Ovis aries: one gene and its partner. Each later gene encodes a partner of the first gene's protein in a complex. Links are inferred from orthologs where the notes say so. Each region holds a gene or a part of one and is shown on either strand. Other genes may lie near its edges.

Region 1 (7,581 bases):
GGCCTCCCATTTCCTGTCATCAAAAGCCTGACCCAGTGGTGTTGCCTTTCACCTTGGGCACATGGGTGCCAGGCAGGAAGGAACTGTGTCTTCCAGTCCCTGTGCCACCGACATCACAAGCACTAAAGGGGTGACAGGAGGTGTCTGCAGGGAAGCTGGACACGGCTTCAGAGTCACAACCCAGAGCCATGGCCCGAAGCTCAGAGATGGGGCTGGGGTAAGTTGCAGACATGGACACAAAGCACAGAAATGGCAATGAAGGCAGACAGGTTCCCCAGGGAGTGAGAGATCCGGAGAAGAGATCTGGGGATGGAGCCTCAGTGTCCCCCATAAGTAGGAGATGGGTGTGTTGGGGGAGAGCCAGCACAGGTGAAAAGTAAAAGTGAAAGTTGCTCAGTCGTGTCTGACTCTTTGCGACCCCATGGACCAGAATACTGGAGTGGGTAGCTGGTCCCTTCTCCAGGGGATCTTCCAAACCCAGGGATCAAACCCAGGTCACCCTCATTGCAGGCTGATTCTTTCCCAGCTGAGCCACCAGGGAAGCCCAAGAATACTGGAGTGTGTAGCCCATCCATTCTCCAGGGGATCTTCCTGATCTAAGAACTGAACCGGGGTCTCCTGCATTGCAGGCGGATCCTTTACCAATTGAGCTATCAGGGAAGCCCAGAGCTAGGGGAAGTGGAAGGAAAAGTTGGAGAGGGCAGGCAGAAGAGGTGGAGAGGGCAGGCAGAAGAGGTGGCCTGGGGCAGGTCCCCAGTAGCTCCGGGAGGCTGCTCTGGCTGGGCCTTGGAGGGGGACAGGGTGACAGGGGTGAGCATCTCTCCCGCAGGCTTTCCAAGGCCCAGGGCACAGAGGCCGCCATGGCCCTTGCATCTCCCGCTGGCAGGGCCTGACCCGTCCTCAGCAGCACTTGTCAGATCTATTGGACCTGGTAAGGCTGGCTTTTGTCCAGGCTTGCGTGGAAAGCAAGGCACCAGCAAATTGTGCATGCAGCTGATCTTTGCCTGGGCGTTTTCCAGCTCAGCAAGCCCCACCCCAAAGGAAACGCTGCTTTCCTCTGAGCCTACCCCTCCGCCAGTGTGCCCATGGCAAGTGGCACCACAGGCATCTTATTCCAGGTGCCGGACTGTTGCTGTCTGGGGCCACTTCAGCTGGGCGTTTCACTCGCCCTGCCATCTCCTAGTGGGGCTGTTTCAAGGCTCCTCCACGAGGAGAGAGTGGTCTCAGGCCAGGGGATGGGAGTGGTAATGGGGGGGTCAGTGCCCACCTCTGGGGCAGACACTTGGCTCAAGGGGCACAGTGATGGCCTTAAACATTCCAGCCCCTATGGAAGGATACTGCAGCATTTGGAGCCCGCAGTGTACATGGGGCCACCCCCTCACCCAGAAACTAAGGACAAAGGCAGGGCACAGCCCGTGGCCATTCTATCCTCTAGCGATGGCACAAGGCCTAGACCAGAGCCTCCGTGGCCCCTTCCCACCTAGGCCTCCCATCTCTCATCCCAGCACCTCTTCCCTGTCTCCCCACCCCCACCCCCCATAGCTACACACTCCTGCCCAGACAAGCTTCTGGAACCAGGGGTCTCCAGTCACTGGCAAGACTTTCCCCCTCTCCACCATGCAGCAACTTCTTGCCCTAATATCACCAATGACCTTCTTGTTAGCTTGACAGGAGGCTGCCCTCTTTTGCTTCTTGGCAGCACTATACACTCTGTACCCTGGCTGGAGGGGCCTTCCTGGCCTCTGACTCCAAGCTCTCCCTGTGGCCTTGCGTCTGCAGAGGTGCCTTGGCCTCTGCAGTGTCTCCAGTTGGTGAAGTCTCCCCCAGGTCCAGTGCTCTCCCCTTTCTTCGGTCATGCTCTCTGGGAAGTAATTTCATGCATCCTCGCAGTGTCTGGGACATTGTGTCCACAGGCCCTCCGGAATGTCGTGGAAAACTGCACAGGGCCGCGGAATCAGCCTGTCGGGCCTGTCAGCAAGGCACCTACTATACACCTGGGAGACACCACTCCTGTCTCCATGGGCAGCCTGAGCTCCCCGATGACTTTCTGCACCCAGCAGATGGCTCCTAGCTACCACAGGGTCATCACCTCCCAGTCGGGAGGCACACAAGACTCACCAGCTGTCTCTTGTGTCTGTCAACAAGACCCGTCTGCACGCGTCAGCTCTCCCCGAGGACCCGGCCTTCCTGAGAGTTGCCCTCTCCCTTCCACAGCCCACCCAAGCCCCTGATAAAATGATGGAGGCACCCGGTTCTAAGCATCCAAAAGGGACAGCGTTTATTTGTTGGGGCAGCTGAGGAGGAAGCTACGCTAGAGGACGGGAAGGTGCTCCGTGCTGGCTGTGACCGAGGGGTTCGGTGGAAGCTGCAGGCAGCCATCTTCTGATCCTGAGGTAGAGGCCTGGGATGAAGCAGACACTGCAGAGTGCAGAGGGGAGGTAGGAAGAAACTGGGTATTTGGGGAAATCATTTATCTGCTGCCAATACCCCTGGACTTCTCAGTTTCGCAAACCAATACCTTCTCTTTATTGCTTAAACCTATGTCCTGTAATGGTTAAATCAACGATGGGGAAACCAAAAGCAGTTCAACTAATAGAGTTCCTTTCAGGTCAAAGTCTCACATGCACCTCTAGTGTGACTGAGAAGGTCAATATAAAATTTCCTGACTACAAAGAAATGAGAGCGTAGGGAAGTCTATCACATGAACCTTGTGGCAGTGCATGCCCAGCTCCTGGGTGGAGCCATGGACTTCCACCTGCTCTTCAAAGCCTTTGGCCCTCGAGCCACTGTCTGTCCTCCCCACCTGGGGACCCAGCACTTACCCTATGAGGCTCAGGCCGGAGAGTGGCCCAGGTGCCCTCCTCTGAGGAGCAGGTGCCTAGACGATCTCTACGACCCACCCCCCAGCTTCTGCCCCCACCCAGGTTCCCTCTCAGACAGTGAGTGGTGTGCACAGTGGGAGGCCCTGTCCACATGTGGCAGAGGATGGGCAAAGGGTACAGGGGCCTGCTCGAGTCACCTCGAGACCATCACCTGTCATCTCTAAAGGTCATGGACCGCTTGTGTCTGGGAGGAGAAAAGAAGGGGGTGCCCAGAGAAAATCTGTGACACTAAGGGCCAGGACATTCCGTCTCTGGGCCACGCTTGGCCATCACTCAGAATTTGGCCTCAGTTTGTATCTGGGACACAGGAGTAGGATGCCTACAGACTCCTGACCCCAGGCTTTGGAGCTAAAGAAAACTAAGAGAGTCTCAAGAACAGCCCTCACTGAGCAGAGTTGAAGGCTGGGGACCAACGTGGCACCTACGTGTCACTCCCCAGAGTCGGGTGACATCCTAGACTCCCCAGCCCGCCTTCCGTTTGAGTGCATACTGGTTGCAGTCACTAAGGGGGCCCAAGGCTGGCCATCACCTGACCTCTTGCCAATGCCGGACCTGTCAAGGATGAGGTGACAGAACTGGGCATCAGGGGCTAGCTGCTTCCCCTTCCAGGCCTGGAAAAGGTATTGCTCGAGGGTTTCTCCTCAGTGGGCTAAACCTGGAATGTCCATGGCCACCCCTCAGAACCCGTCTGAACGACCCTTTTCTCCTTCTCACCCTGAAGTACTTCTGGAAGCTGGCTGGACTCAGAATCTGGCTCCTTGCCTTCTCCGCTAGGAGCCTCGGCTGTCTCACCTTTTGTGCAACATGTGGGAGCCAACCTGGGTCAAGAGCTTTGAGTGGGGCCTGGCACCTAACATGAGCCAGATACAGGTACCCGAGTACCCGCCAGGCAGTATTATGAGCCAAGTTGCAATACAAGAAGACATTTAATGCTACATGCAGCTTGTGGCCTGGCCAGGCTCCTCCCCACACTCCGAGAATCCTACTTGGAGAACCCCTTCTCCATAGCTTCAGTCGCTTCGGGGTGCAGGAAGCGGCCAGCCAAACGTTCAATGTCATCCAGCGTCAGGCGGCTCAGGGACCGCTCATAATCCTGAAGAGAGAAAGCCAGAAGGATTCAGGGGTGTGGCTTGGGGCGGGGGGGCCCGCTGGGACAGAGGCAGGTGGGCAGGATGCAGAGGTCCTGGGCCACGCTTCTCACCCTCTGGAGTTGATCCAGGACTCTGCTGGCATCGGCGGCGCTGAAGTGCTGGGCCAGGATTCTGGAAATGAGCGGCCAGGCGGCGGGCGGTGGGGCTGGGGCCTCGGCCGTTTTCCGCGCAGTGCTTTCTTCCAGCAACACCTTCTCCAGAGGTTTGACCACTAGGTTGAGCTTGGAATTCGGCCCGATGCTGTAATCGGAGAGTCTTTTCCCATCTGTCCGAAAGAGAGAGGGAGAGGGAGAGAGGGAGAGAGGGAGAGAGGGAGAGAGGGAGAGAGGGAGAGAGGGAGAGAGGGAGAGAGGGAGAGAGGGAGAGAGGGAGAGAGGGAGAGAGGGAGAGAGGGTCGCACTGACCCTCGGAGAGCCTAGGCGAAGCGCAGCGGTGAACTCCCGGGATGGGGGTGGGGGTCACCTAGCCAGAGCCCCCTCCACCTACACTGCTGCCCGGGCCTGGGCTGGACGCCCCGTCCCCTGGCTTCCCGCGGGTCTCCCCCAGCGTCCCCTCTTCCTGGTTACCTGCCAGGGCCTTGCCCTTGAACAGCAGCCGCTGTTGGCGGACGGGGATGTTCAGCTTTTCGGAGACCAGATGTTTCAGCGTGGACACCAGCTCGTCCTCCGACACCTGTCCCGGCCGAGAAAGGTGGGCGGGGGGTGAAGCCGCGGCCCGCGCGGAGGGTGGCTCTCCCGAGGCGGCTAGCCCGCCGGGTCCGTCCCTTCCCGCGGCTCGATCCCGCACCCGCGGGGCTGACCGCGCAACCCAGCCCGGCGATGCTACCTGAAGGCTGCACTCGCGGCCCTGGAGTGCCTTCACCGTCAGCTGCATGGCGGCCGCCGAGGCGTCCACTCGGGCCGGCGCGCACCCCAACGGTCCGCCGCCGCGCGCCGCCGCCCCGGGCGCGCGCCGGAACCGCCCGCCGCCGCCGGAAGCATCGCGAGGGGCGAGCCGGGCATCGCGGCCCCGCCCCGCCGGCCCCTCCCCCCACAACCTGGACTGTCCTCCGCGGAGCCCGGGGCGACGGAGCCCAGAAGCCCGCGGAGAGTGGAAAAGGGTGGCGGGACCAGTCGGGCTCGCTCGAAGGAGTTGGGGAGCTGGGCCCGGGGAGACGGCGGGCCGGGAGTTCGCGCGCCACCGCCCGTGGGCAGAGCAGGTCAACGCTGATGCCCATCCCATCCCCTGCCTCTCAGGAGCCTGCAGAAGACCCGGCCCCGCCGAGCTCGTTTCACCACCCGCCGGCCTCTTTTTTACTTCACCTGTGGAAAAGCAACTGAGCTTGGGATCTGGTGGGGGAGTCAGGCCTCTGCCCTTCCCACTGCTTCTTCTAGAACAGATACACAGCTCTCAGAGGTGATGCAGGGGCGAGGAAGGCTAAATCTGGCCAGAGGTCACTGTGTCGCCAAGCCAGCCCTCCATCCTGGCCCACACCTACCTGGCCACACCACGCCCTTCCTTCCCCGACCCGCAGGCCTCAGAGGGCAAAGACAGCATGATACCCAAGCTTGCTTCTGTTTTATTGAAATATATTTTCTGGGCAGTGCCCGCTTACAGAACTCAGCATGGCCTCTTTGGCACTGAAAGCTGGAGAATAAAAAACGAGTAAAAAAAATAAGCCTGGATTTTTTTTTTTTTCTGAGTGCATAGTGCATGAGAACTAAAGGCCTTTGGTACACAAGAATGGTGGGGACAGTTGATGGAGGTTGGGGGCTGGGGGTGCCTGGTGAAAGCTTGACCCGGGGGCCTCAGGGAACGGTGCACACGCTGCTATAGATAAAGTGGCCAATTACTAAGGCCAGCATCTCCGAGGTGCCACTAAGTGCCACAAGGAAAGGGGCCTGGGAGGCATAGTCAGCCTGGAGGCGGCGGAGGGACAGCTGCAGCATGGCCAAGGCCAGAAGGCTGTTCTGCACCCCAACCTCGATGCTGACAGTCCGCCGCTGGGCCACTGGCAGATTCAGGCATGTGGCCAGGCCGTAGCCCACCAGGAGGCCGACCAGGGGCACTGTGAAGCCCACCAACACGATGGGCAGCCTGACGCCTGCCAGGATGAAGACCCCCATGCGGTAGGCCAGGAAGAGGCCACCCAGGAGCAGCACAAAGCTGAAGGGCTTGATGACATGCAGCAGCAGCTGCGAGAACTTGGGGAGCTTGGACTTGATTACCACGCCTGCTGCAATGGGGATGGCAATGAACAGCAGGGTCCCCAGGATCTTGGAAACAGGCACATGGAGTGTTTCATGGATGCTGAGCAGGCGACTGTAGATGGCTGAGGACAGCGGCAGGAAGCCGGTGGCAGCCACCGTTGAGATGAAAGTCATAGAGATGGCCAGAGTGACGTCCCCTCCGAGGAGGAGGCTGAAGAGGTAGCTCCCCCCGCCGCCGGGCGACGAGCAAGTGATGATGAGGCCCAGAGCCAGGGCCTTGGGCAGCATGAAGACCTTAGCCATCAGAAAAGCATAGAAGGGCATGACTAGGAACTGGCCCAGAAGGCCCAGCAGCATGGGCTGGGGGTTCTGCAAGAGCCCCTTCAGTACCTCGAGCTCCACTTTGCACCCAAATGAACACTTATTGACAAAGATAAGAGGCAGGAGCAAGTAGAGGATTGGGTTCTCTGAGAAGTGGACCAGGTTAGTGCCGAGGGTGATGGGGGTGTCTTCAGCGGGTGAGACCTTGATGCAGAAATCTCTCCGCTCTTCGATCAGCCTGGGCGGGGCCTCGCGGGGGTCCGTGAGCTGGATGTGGAGTGGGGCTATCCCAGGCAGGCCCGAGCGGATGCTTACCACGAAGCTGCCACCGCCGCCCCAGGCTATAGCACTCACATTCTTAATGGTCAGCACCTCTGGGTCCAGGGAGGTGACCCTCAGCATGGGGCTGGGTCCTGTCCCGTTGCCCTGGCCTGGGTAATGGCTTGTGATCACAATGATGCCCTCGCTCTCTTCTGGGAACTCAAACTCCATCACAGAGCCATCTCCAATGCTCAGGTAGCGGCCCCTGGTCAGGGGCATGGGATGGCCCAGAGCCGGGCTGAGACTGGCACTGGCTGTTCCCCGGGCCCCCCACAGCAGGCTGACAAGCAGCAGGGTGGCCCTGAGCATGCTTTGGGGGCCCGTGCAACCAGTGCCCCCTTCTGGGCCAGGCCACTGCAGGGAGCAGCCTTCACCACTCCTAAACACCATGGCTCCTTCCCAACGGTGGGGCATGCAGGCCCTCTGTGGCTTAGGAGACCAGCCTTGCTGGTGCCGTTGGGTGGTCCTCAGAAGGGTCCATGGGCGAGGTCTGGTGCTGGGCTCCCTTTCTTGATGGTAGAGCTCTTCCTGAGAAGAGAAGGGACATGGCGGTGGCTGGTGAGGGCGAGCAGCTGTGAGCCCAGGAGCATGACCGAGAAGCCCACTGCTGGGAGACTCAGCCGGGTTCCTTGCTGCAAGCCTGGGGATGGCCCTTGAGTGCCATTCGGGTGTCCCTTCCCCAGTCACAACTACCTCAAGCTTCCCCAGAAGGGGAAG
Region 2 (6,976 bases), on another chromosome or scaffold:
CCAGGTGTGGGCTCCTGGCCACCCAGGTAGTGCTGGTGGAAGAAAGATCGCAGCTGGGGCTGGAGCCGCTGCAGGGGCTGGAAATGCCCGTGGAGCAGCATCACCACATCCACCATGGAAAAGTTCTGGCATAGAAGAGAGAGCAGGGCCCCGAAGAAGCCTAGGGACAGGGACTGAGGTCAGCAGTGGCCTTTACCACCTGGCCTGCCCTCTAGCCCATCAGCCTCATCCCACCATCAACAAAGGCTACCCACTCTCCCCTGGCTGCCCGATCCCTAGAGAAGGCAGGGCACCCTTATCTGCTCACCGAGAGCCCCATCGGCCCCAGGCTCAAAGATGTTGCTGGACCCACTGAGGCGCTGTATGAAAGCAGCGATGCTCTCACTGCTGCCAGCCCGGGCCCCCAGGGAGCCCAGCAGCGAGCTCAGCACACCCTGCACCACTGAGGTGAAGAACTCCAATGGCAGGCTCTCAGGACCCACGCTGCCAGGACTCCCACTGCCACCAGAAGGGGACCCCGGTGGGGGTGCTGTCTGCTGCTCTGGGGCTGGAGGGGGCGGTGGGGGTGGGGGCGGCGGAGGAGGGGGAGCAGCTGTCTGTGTTGCCTGCATGAGAGGGACGGAATAAAGAACAGAGAGTGAAATTAGAATAAGGATATAGAACGGCATTATGCTTAGCTGCTCAGTCAGTCGTGTCGGACTCTGCAACCCCATGGACTGTAGCCTGCCAGGCTCCTCTGTCCAAAGGGATTCTCCAGGCAAGAATACTAGAGTGGATTGCCATGCCCTCCTCCAGGGGATCTTCCCAACCCAGGTCTCCCGCACTGCAGGCAGATTCTTTACCAGCTGAGCCACCAGGGAAGCTCATGAATACTAGAGTGGGTAGCCTATCCCTTCTTCAGGGGAGCTTCCTGACCCAGGAATCGAACCGGCGTCTCCTGCATTGCAGGCAGATTCTTTACCAGCTGAGCTACCAGGGAAGCCCCAAAAACGACACTGGGGAAGCACAAATCCACAGGAGTCTGGAAGGTATGGCGCGCTGTTCCAGTCTTTGTGCCTTATAGCAGAATATACATGGCGGCTTTTCATAAGCTGAGTCGGGTTGAGCAGGTACCCTCTGAACGGGTTAGCTCAGGAAAGCAGTGACACAATTATCATGCTTCTCTCTCCCAGCCCGTTTTCCTCATCTACCAAATGAAGGGTGCTAAGACAATCAATTCCCAAGGTTCCTTCCTAGTGGCAACAAGACACCCAGGACCTGGCTGGGCTCAGAAAGAGGCAGACTGAAGCGGAGAGTCAGCCAGCCACTCACCTGCAAGAAGTCCGTCATGCCCTGGAGAAAGGCGGGTACACCAGGCATCGCCACAGTAATGGTGGGAGAAGCCACACCAGGCCCTCCAGTTCCCGGCCCAGCAGGCCCCAGCAGGTTCCCCAGGAGCTGAGAGAACTGAAGATCAGAGGCGGAGGCTTGAGGAGGCTGAGGCTGGGCAGGCCCCCCTGGGGCAGGGCCAGCTGTGGTAGCCGTGTTGGTGGTGCCAGAACTAGCTGACGCAGTCGCAGGGGCTGGAGATGGAGCCATTCCTGGGGTCCCCTGAGCTAGAGAGCAAAAGAAGACAGCGGAAAGCTCAAGGAAAACAAGACCCCACAGCATCTCCATTCTGGTGGAGAGAACTGGGAAACCGCTTCCATCTGAGGTGAGGAAGGACACGGACTCACCCACAAGGACAGGCTGCATAAGAAGCTGCCCCACGAGGCCGCTCACCATCTGGGCTAAAGAGGCGTTGGTACCCAAACCAGCACCCGGCTGAGGGAAGAAGACAACGGCAGGCTTTCAGACTTGGCCTCTCCATGCCCTGCCACAGGAGTCTCTCCACACTCTTCCCTGATGGGACTACCCCACCCCTAACTCACCAGAGCCCCCGAGACCGGGGGCCCCCCAGGATGGGAAGGCCGAGCCTGTGGAGGCGTGGGCCGGGCAATCACCAGCCGGGTGGGAGCTGTCGGGAAGCCTGGCACCTGCTGTCCTGTGGGCGGCAGAGGGGAGAGACCGAAGACGGCTGAGGGCCCAGTCCGAGCAAGCCAGCAGACGACGCCCACCACCGTGGACTGGGCCCCACCTCCCAGGCTTCCCCTTTCAGGTTGTTACCTGTGGCCGCGGAGGCAACAGCTGCCACCATGGCCTCATGAGTGATCTGGTGGGCGACGGCGTGCATGAACTCAGGGGGCAGGGAGGGCAGCTGGATGAGGGTGGAGCCTGGGGGGTGGGTCTGATGTAACCTTGACCCTGGACCCCCTTCAACCCACCCACTCAGCCCTACCCCTTCTCTACCCAGAGCTCAACCTGCTCTGATGCCCTCACTCTTACCCAGGGTCTGGCCATGACCAGGGGGTCCTAGGGGGCCAGTGGGAGCACTCGGAACTCCACCAGGCTGTGTGCCAGAATCTGGGCAAGGAGACAGAGAAAGTGGCCTGAGACAGGCGGGGCCAAGGTCTAACTGGATCCTCCCAAGATCAGCGTGCTTCAGGCCTCCACTCCCCCGACCAGAAAAATGGCCTTTCACTCCATCTAGATGGGGAGGAGATGCTCCCTTCACCACGCACACAACTCTGTGAGGACAAGCCGTTCTTCCTGCCCCTCCCGACACACACCAACTTAAAGAGCCTGTGCTCTGCTCTGCGCCATCAGCCACCGCCACCAGCCCTGGCCTCTCCTTTCCCACCCTGGCACCCCCACATCTCAGCACCAACCCAAAACCCCTCCTTGCACCGCTCTGCTCTGCCAGCAGCTATTCCCAGCTCACCTTGGATGTTCATGTGCATCATGACCACGGGTTCCACACTCTGGTGGGAAATCCGGATGACCCTCGGGTGGCTGGTGGTCGGTGGGGGAGCTGGTCCTGGCGGGGAAGCCCCCTCATTCGAAGACTCCACGGCGGTAGAAGAAGGGGCCAGGGACGAGGCCTGCCCAGCACCAGCGGGAGGTGCCTCCGCACTTGGAGTCGGGGGGGGCCGTGTCCCGTTCCCCGTCATGGTCACAGTGGTCCCCACGTTGATCTGGACGACAGAGACAACGGGGCAGACGTGAGTGAAACACAAGCGCCTAACCCAGAGCACCCCATGACACGCTTCTAAAGTCTCCTCCATCCTGGGTCACCATGTTTGCCGAGTCTGCTCCCCTCCCAACCTCCTTGGAGCCCAACAGCTACGATGGATCACTTCATCAACAGCCCCCCATCTGTCCGCATCCAGGCTCTCCTGATCCACCTGGATGGGGATGGCCGCCTGCTGGAGCACCATGGGGGTGGTGTAGTGAGACATGGGCCGGACCACGTGCAGATGACGAGGGGGCGCACAGGCCAGATTGCAACGCAGGTCAGACAGTGCCACGAAGGTGTTGCCCAGCAGCCGCAGGCTCTCCCCCACCAAGTTGATCAAGCGCTGATCCTCCTCACGGCCCTCTTGCTGTACTCCCCGGGGCCAAACACAGAAAAGCAGAAAGCATTAGGCTAGGATCCACCTTGTTAAAAAAGTAATGCCTTTTTGAGATTGATTATCACATCCTCTCTGTCTTTTGAAGAAGGAAATGGAAACCCATTTCAGTATTCTTGCCTGGAAGACCCTATGGACAGAGGAGCCTGGCGAGCTACAGGCCACAGGGTCACAAAGAGTTAGATACAACTGAGCAAGTGAGCACTATGTCTTTAGGTACATCCTCTGAAGCTTCTGTATACACCAAATCTTTGCAAGTAAGCTCCAGTTTATACACACAAATAGCTTCCTTTGATAATAAATCCTACAGTGAATCAGTAAGCGATCACCTGCTAATCTCCCTTACATTATAAACTTGCTAAGTAACTAATTTAGGGGATCATGAAAGTGAGAAGACAGTGAACACCATAAAGATGTCAATGAGGAAAAGATCCTGTGTTCCTGTCAAGGAGGAAACAATCACTTCCTTCCTAATCTAAAGAGAAGCTGCTCTGCAGAAGATGACATCTTTTGGGGCACGGGGCAGGGGAAGTGATCTACGCTTCGCCCTGCTCCATCTGGGGGTGCTGGAGGTGAGGGGGTGGGTGGGCTCACATTGTTGTTGTAGTCTGTGGTGGCAGCAGCACCCAAAACCTCATAGTAGCGCTGCAGGAAGGGCTGGAGGCGGCTCTCAAGCCGCTGCAGCTCCTGAAGCACCTCGACATACTCCGCAGGCGAAGGGTGGCTGTGGGCAAAACCCAAAGCGGCCGTGAGCCGAGGCTTCCCTCAGACTCCTGCCCTTACCACCCGTGCCCCACTTCTCCCTGGCCTCCCAGAGCCCCAGCCTAACCCCCCACCCCACCCCCTGGAACTAGCAGAGCTTCTGTTCTTTAACCTCACCCAGGGGGGAAGGACAGGAAAAGACAAACTGCTTTCACCCTTCCCACAACACAATCCTGTACCTATAATGGCAAAACACCAACTCTTAAAAACCAGATAGGGCCTCTGGGTACTCAGGGGAGAGATGCTTGCCACCTCCGGGAGCACCATGTGGATTTCCTAAGCCAAAGAAGGGCAGCGCCTCTAGCTCAGTGGCCAGTCTCAATCTCATTTACCTACTCCAGAGCCCCCCGCACCGCCCCTCAACACTAACTCTACAAGCACCACCTCTGAACAATGTTTTCTCTCTCGTCAACCTTCTCCTGGTCCTTACACTTCACTTAGAATCCCCAACCCACTCCCACCCCAAAAGGTGCTCTCCCTCTCTCACTTGGGTGCATTTGTCTCTGGGGCAGAGGCTGGGCCCGCTGGGGCTGGGCCAGAAGGGGTGAGCTCCGGGCTCTGGGCAGGGGCACGCTCCTCCACTTCTTCCGCCTCCATGGGCTCCCGAGGAGGCACTTCACTTTCAACCGGTTCTGACGTTTGGGAGGTCAAGGCCACCGGCTCTGGTGCCACCGTTGGTGTCTGGGGTGGCGGCTGACTGTGCTGGGCTTGGGCACCCCCTCGGCACTGAAGCGGGAGAAGAGTCAGGACAACAAAGGCAACGTGAAACTGCAGCAGATTACTCAAGTCAGAGCAGCCTGAGTGGAGAAGGGGCACTAACTAGCCGCCCCGAAGGCAGGGCTCTGCATCTGAATCTGACTCCCTAAAACGTACACAAATTAGACGTGTGACAAACACCTATGATACTTACAAATAAACTATTAACAAAAACTAGGGGTTGTGGTTTCCTAGCCTCCAAGAGGAAAGAAGGACAGGACACTGGCTGCAAATACAAACTAATGAAGCTAAGCCATCCCAGCATCAAATATGACAATCAAGGAACAGGAAGGCAAGGAATCCTTCTTTAATTGCAAAGAGAATCAGCAGGGACAGGACAGCCTCAAAAGAAAGATACTTTTTCTGCCCAAAAGAGCACACACTGCAGAAAAGAGATTAGATTAAGAGGGGAGAACCCAGTGGATGTGACCAGTCATCCCTAGGCTGAGACAAAAGGGGTAGGGAGGATAGAGTGAGACAGGCAGTGGCCAGCCTTGCCCACTCACCTCCATCCGGGAGAGTAAGGTCTGTATATCCCTGATCATATGCTGAGCCATCACCAGCCGTACTCGGGGCTCACTCTACAATGAGAGAGAAAATCAGGTCAGGCTGGAGACAAAGCCACAAGCTCCATTACCTACTAAACCAGGACCCAGCCCCATCTCTTCAGCCAGACCCATCCCCCACTTTGTGGCCTCCTTCTCCCAGATCCCCTTCCTTGACCCTCCCAGGCCCTGTGATACCTGAATTGGGGCCTGTTCCATGTTGATGTGAACATCCACAGCAGAGCCGTCACTCTGAGGAAAGGGTAAGGGAAGTTGCTCTGGGAGAAGCCAAATACTAAGGCCCCCACGCTTCCAACTGATTCTCTGGTGCCCGACCCCTCTAGATTATCAAAGACAGAGGCTGTTACCAGACCAGAGAGCCCACCAAAGCCCTTCTAAAGACTGACACACCTCTCTTATGAACTCTTGGCTGCTACCACAACCAAAACTGACCCCACAAAAACCCTCCCGTGAGGAACACAAGCTTACGGGAAGATTGAAGGTTCCAACCATGACATAGCTGTTGGCATTCCGGTCATGAACAGAGGCCCCAGGCCCCCGAGTACCAGGCGTGGGTCCCCCACCATGGGTGGCTGAGGTGGACCCTGTTCCAGAAGATGCTCCAGAAGGGAGCTGAGTCTGAGGAGGAGCCCGTTCCACAAGGTGAATAACCTTTCCCCCAACATCTGCAGAAAAAAGATACACACCAAAACATTACATGATCAGGGAAACCCTTGGCCTCAGCTCACTGCTCTGGACAGCAGCCTCAAGCTCTGCTCTGCCTCCCCCACCCCCTTACTGTATTCTTGGAGCTTCTTATCATCCTGCAGAACTCGTCCCTGGTAGATAAGCCGTTGTTTCTCAGATGGGATGCTAACAGAAGCAGCAATATGTTCCTTAAACTCCTTTACGTTCATCTGTAGGGAAGAAGAAACATGACGAGGAATCGGGGGTGGAAGAAAAAGGACAGAAGGGGGACAGCTGACTTGTAAGGGGTAAAAACCATCCCATCCTAAAATTACTACCCACCTGTCTTAATTGTGAGGTAATTATTGAGCAAAGCCCTGAACTAGGGCAACACTTGTCAAAATACATACAATAAACGTAACGAACTTCAGGTACAGGCCCAGGAGAAAACTACAGGGCTGAAGACCAGAAACACCAACTGACATTCTCTTCTCTCCCTCTCTGCCTGGCTCCAAAAGGAATGTGTGTGCCTAGAGATACCGGTGACCCCTCCACAAACACAAAATGATACAACACTGTAACCTTAAAGATAAAAGCAATGACAAAGAAGATGCGGTAGAGAATCAGGTTAAGGAAGGCAGACTCAAGCAAGAAGAAAAAGGGGCAAAGTCAGAAAAATATTTTTCCTAACTAGACAACTGACTTGTGAGAAGTATCCAGCTGTTTACAAACACCTAA

The links. Proteins that work in one complex are often made in the same cells at the same time.
Region 2: the proteins of UBL4A (region 1) and BAG6 are in contact, whole or in part, in a crystal structure (PDB 4X86), measured with the Homo sapiens proteins. The link is inferred for Ovis aries from reciprocal best matches to the Homo sapiens genes UBL4A and BAG6. Residues at the interface, in NP_055050.1 of Homo sapiens: Val95, Leu98, Ile99, Val102, Leu103, Arg105, His106, Phe107, Ser108, Asp111, Arg114, Val115, Gln118, Leu119, Asp122, Tyr123, Glu124, Ser126, Leu127, Ser128, Leu130, Ile135, Leu138, Arg141, Phe142; in NP_001092004.1 of Homo sapiens: Gly1052, Pro1053, Leu1055, Leu1057, Ala1060, Val1061, Ala1064, Ala1065, Ala1067, Ala1068, Ala1070, Arg1071, Pro1072, Leu1073, Thr1074, Ser1078, Leu1079, Asp1082, Leu1083, Glu1087, Val1088, Ser1091, Tyr1092, Gln1095, Leu1096, Asp1099, Ile1100, Arg1103, Leu1104.

Annotation. Positions count from the first base shown.
Region 1 is NC_056080.1:79,952,469-79,960,049, reverse strand, and holds UBL4A (ubiquitin-like protein 4A), read right to left. Parts: upstream 4,950-7,581; 5' UTR 4,907-4,949; coding exon 4,859-4,906; intron 4,706-4,858; coding exon 4,600-4,705; intron 4,299-4,599; coding exon 4,084-4,298; intron 3,976-4,083; coding exon 3,869-3,975; coding exon of another isoform or gene 3,865-3,868; exon of another isoform or gene 3,435-3,864; coding exon 3,311-3,434; 3' UTR 3,308-3,310; exon of another isoform or gene 2,419-3,307; coding exon of another isoform or gene 2,307-2,418; 3' UTR 2,253-2,306; downstream 1-2,252. Other genes in the region: SLC10A3 (P3 protein), read right to left, coding at 5,821-7,278. UniProt on the Homo sapiens protein: As part of a cytosolic protein quality control complex, the BAG6/BAT3 complex, maintains misfolded and hydrophobic patches-containing proteins in a soluble state and participates in their proper delivery to the endoplasmic reticulum or alternatively can promote their sorting to the proteasome where they undergo degradation.
Region 2 is NC_056073.1:26,728,990-26,735,965, reverse strand, and holds part of BAG6 (large proline-rich protein BAG6), read right to left. Parts: intron 6,469-6,976; coding exon 6,351-6,468; intron 6,238-6,350; coding exon 6,041-6,237; intron 5,804-6,040; coding exon 5,750-5,803; intron 5,588-5,749; coding exon 5,513-5,587; intron 4,977-5,512; coding exon 4,738-4,976; intron 4,213-4,737; coding exon 4,083-4,212; intron 3,462-4,082; coding exon 3,264-3,461; intron 3,054-3,263; coding exon 2,801-3,053; intron 2,443-2,800; coding exon 2,365-2,442; intron 2,254-2,364; coding exon 2,146-2,253; intron 2,024-2,145; coding exon 1,911-2,023; intron 1,804-1,910; coding exon 1,716-1,803; intron 1,596-1,715; coding exon 1,312-1,595; intron 606-1,311; coding exon 308-605; intron 161-307; coding exon 1-160. UniProt on the Homo sapiens protein: ATP-independent molecular chaperone preventing the aggregation of misfolded and hydrophobic patches-containing proteins.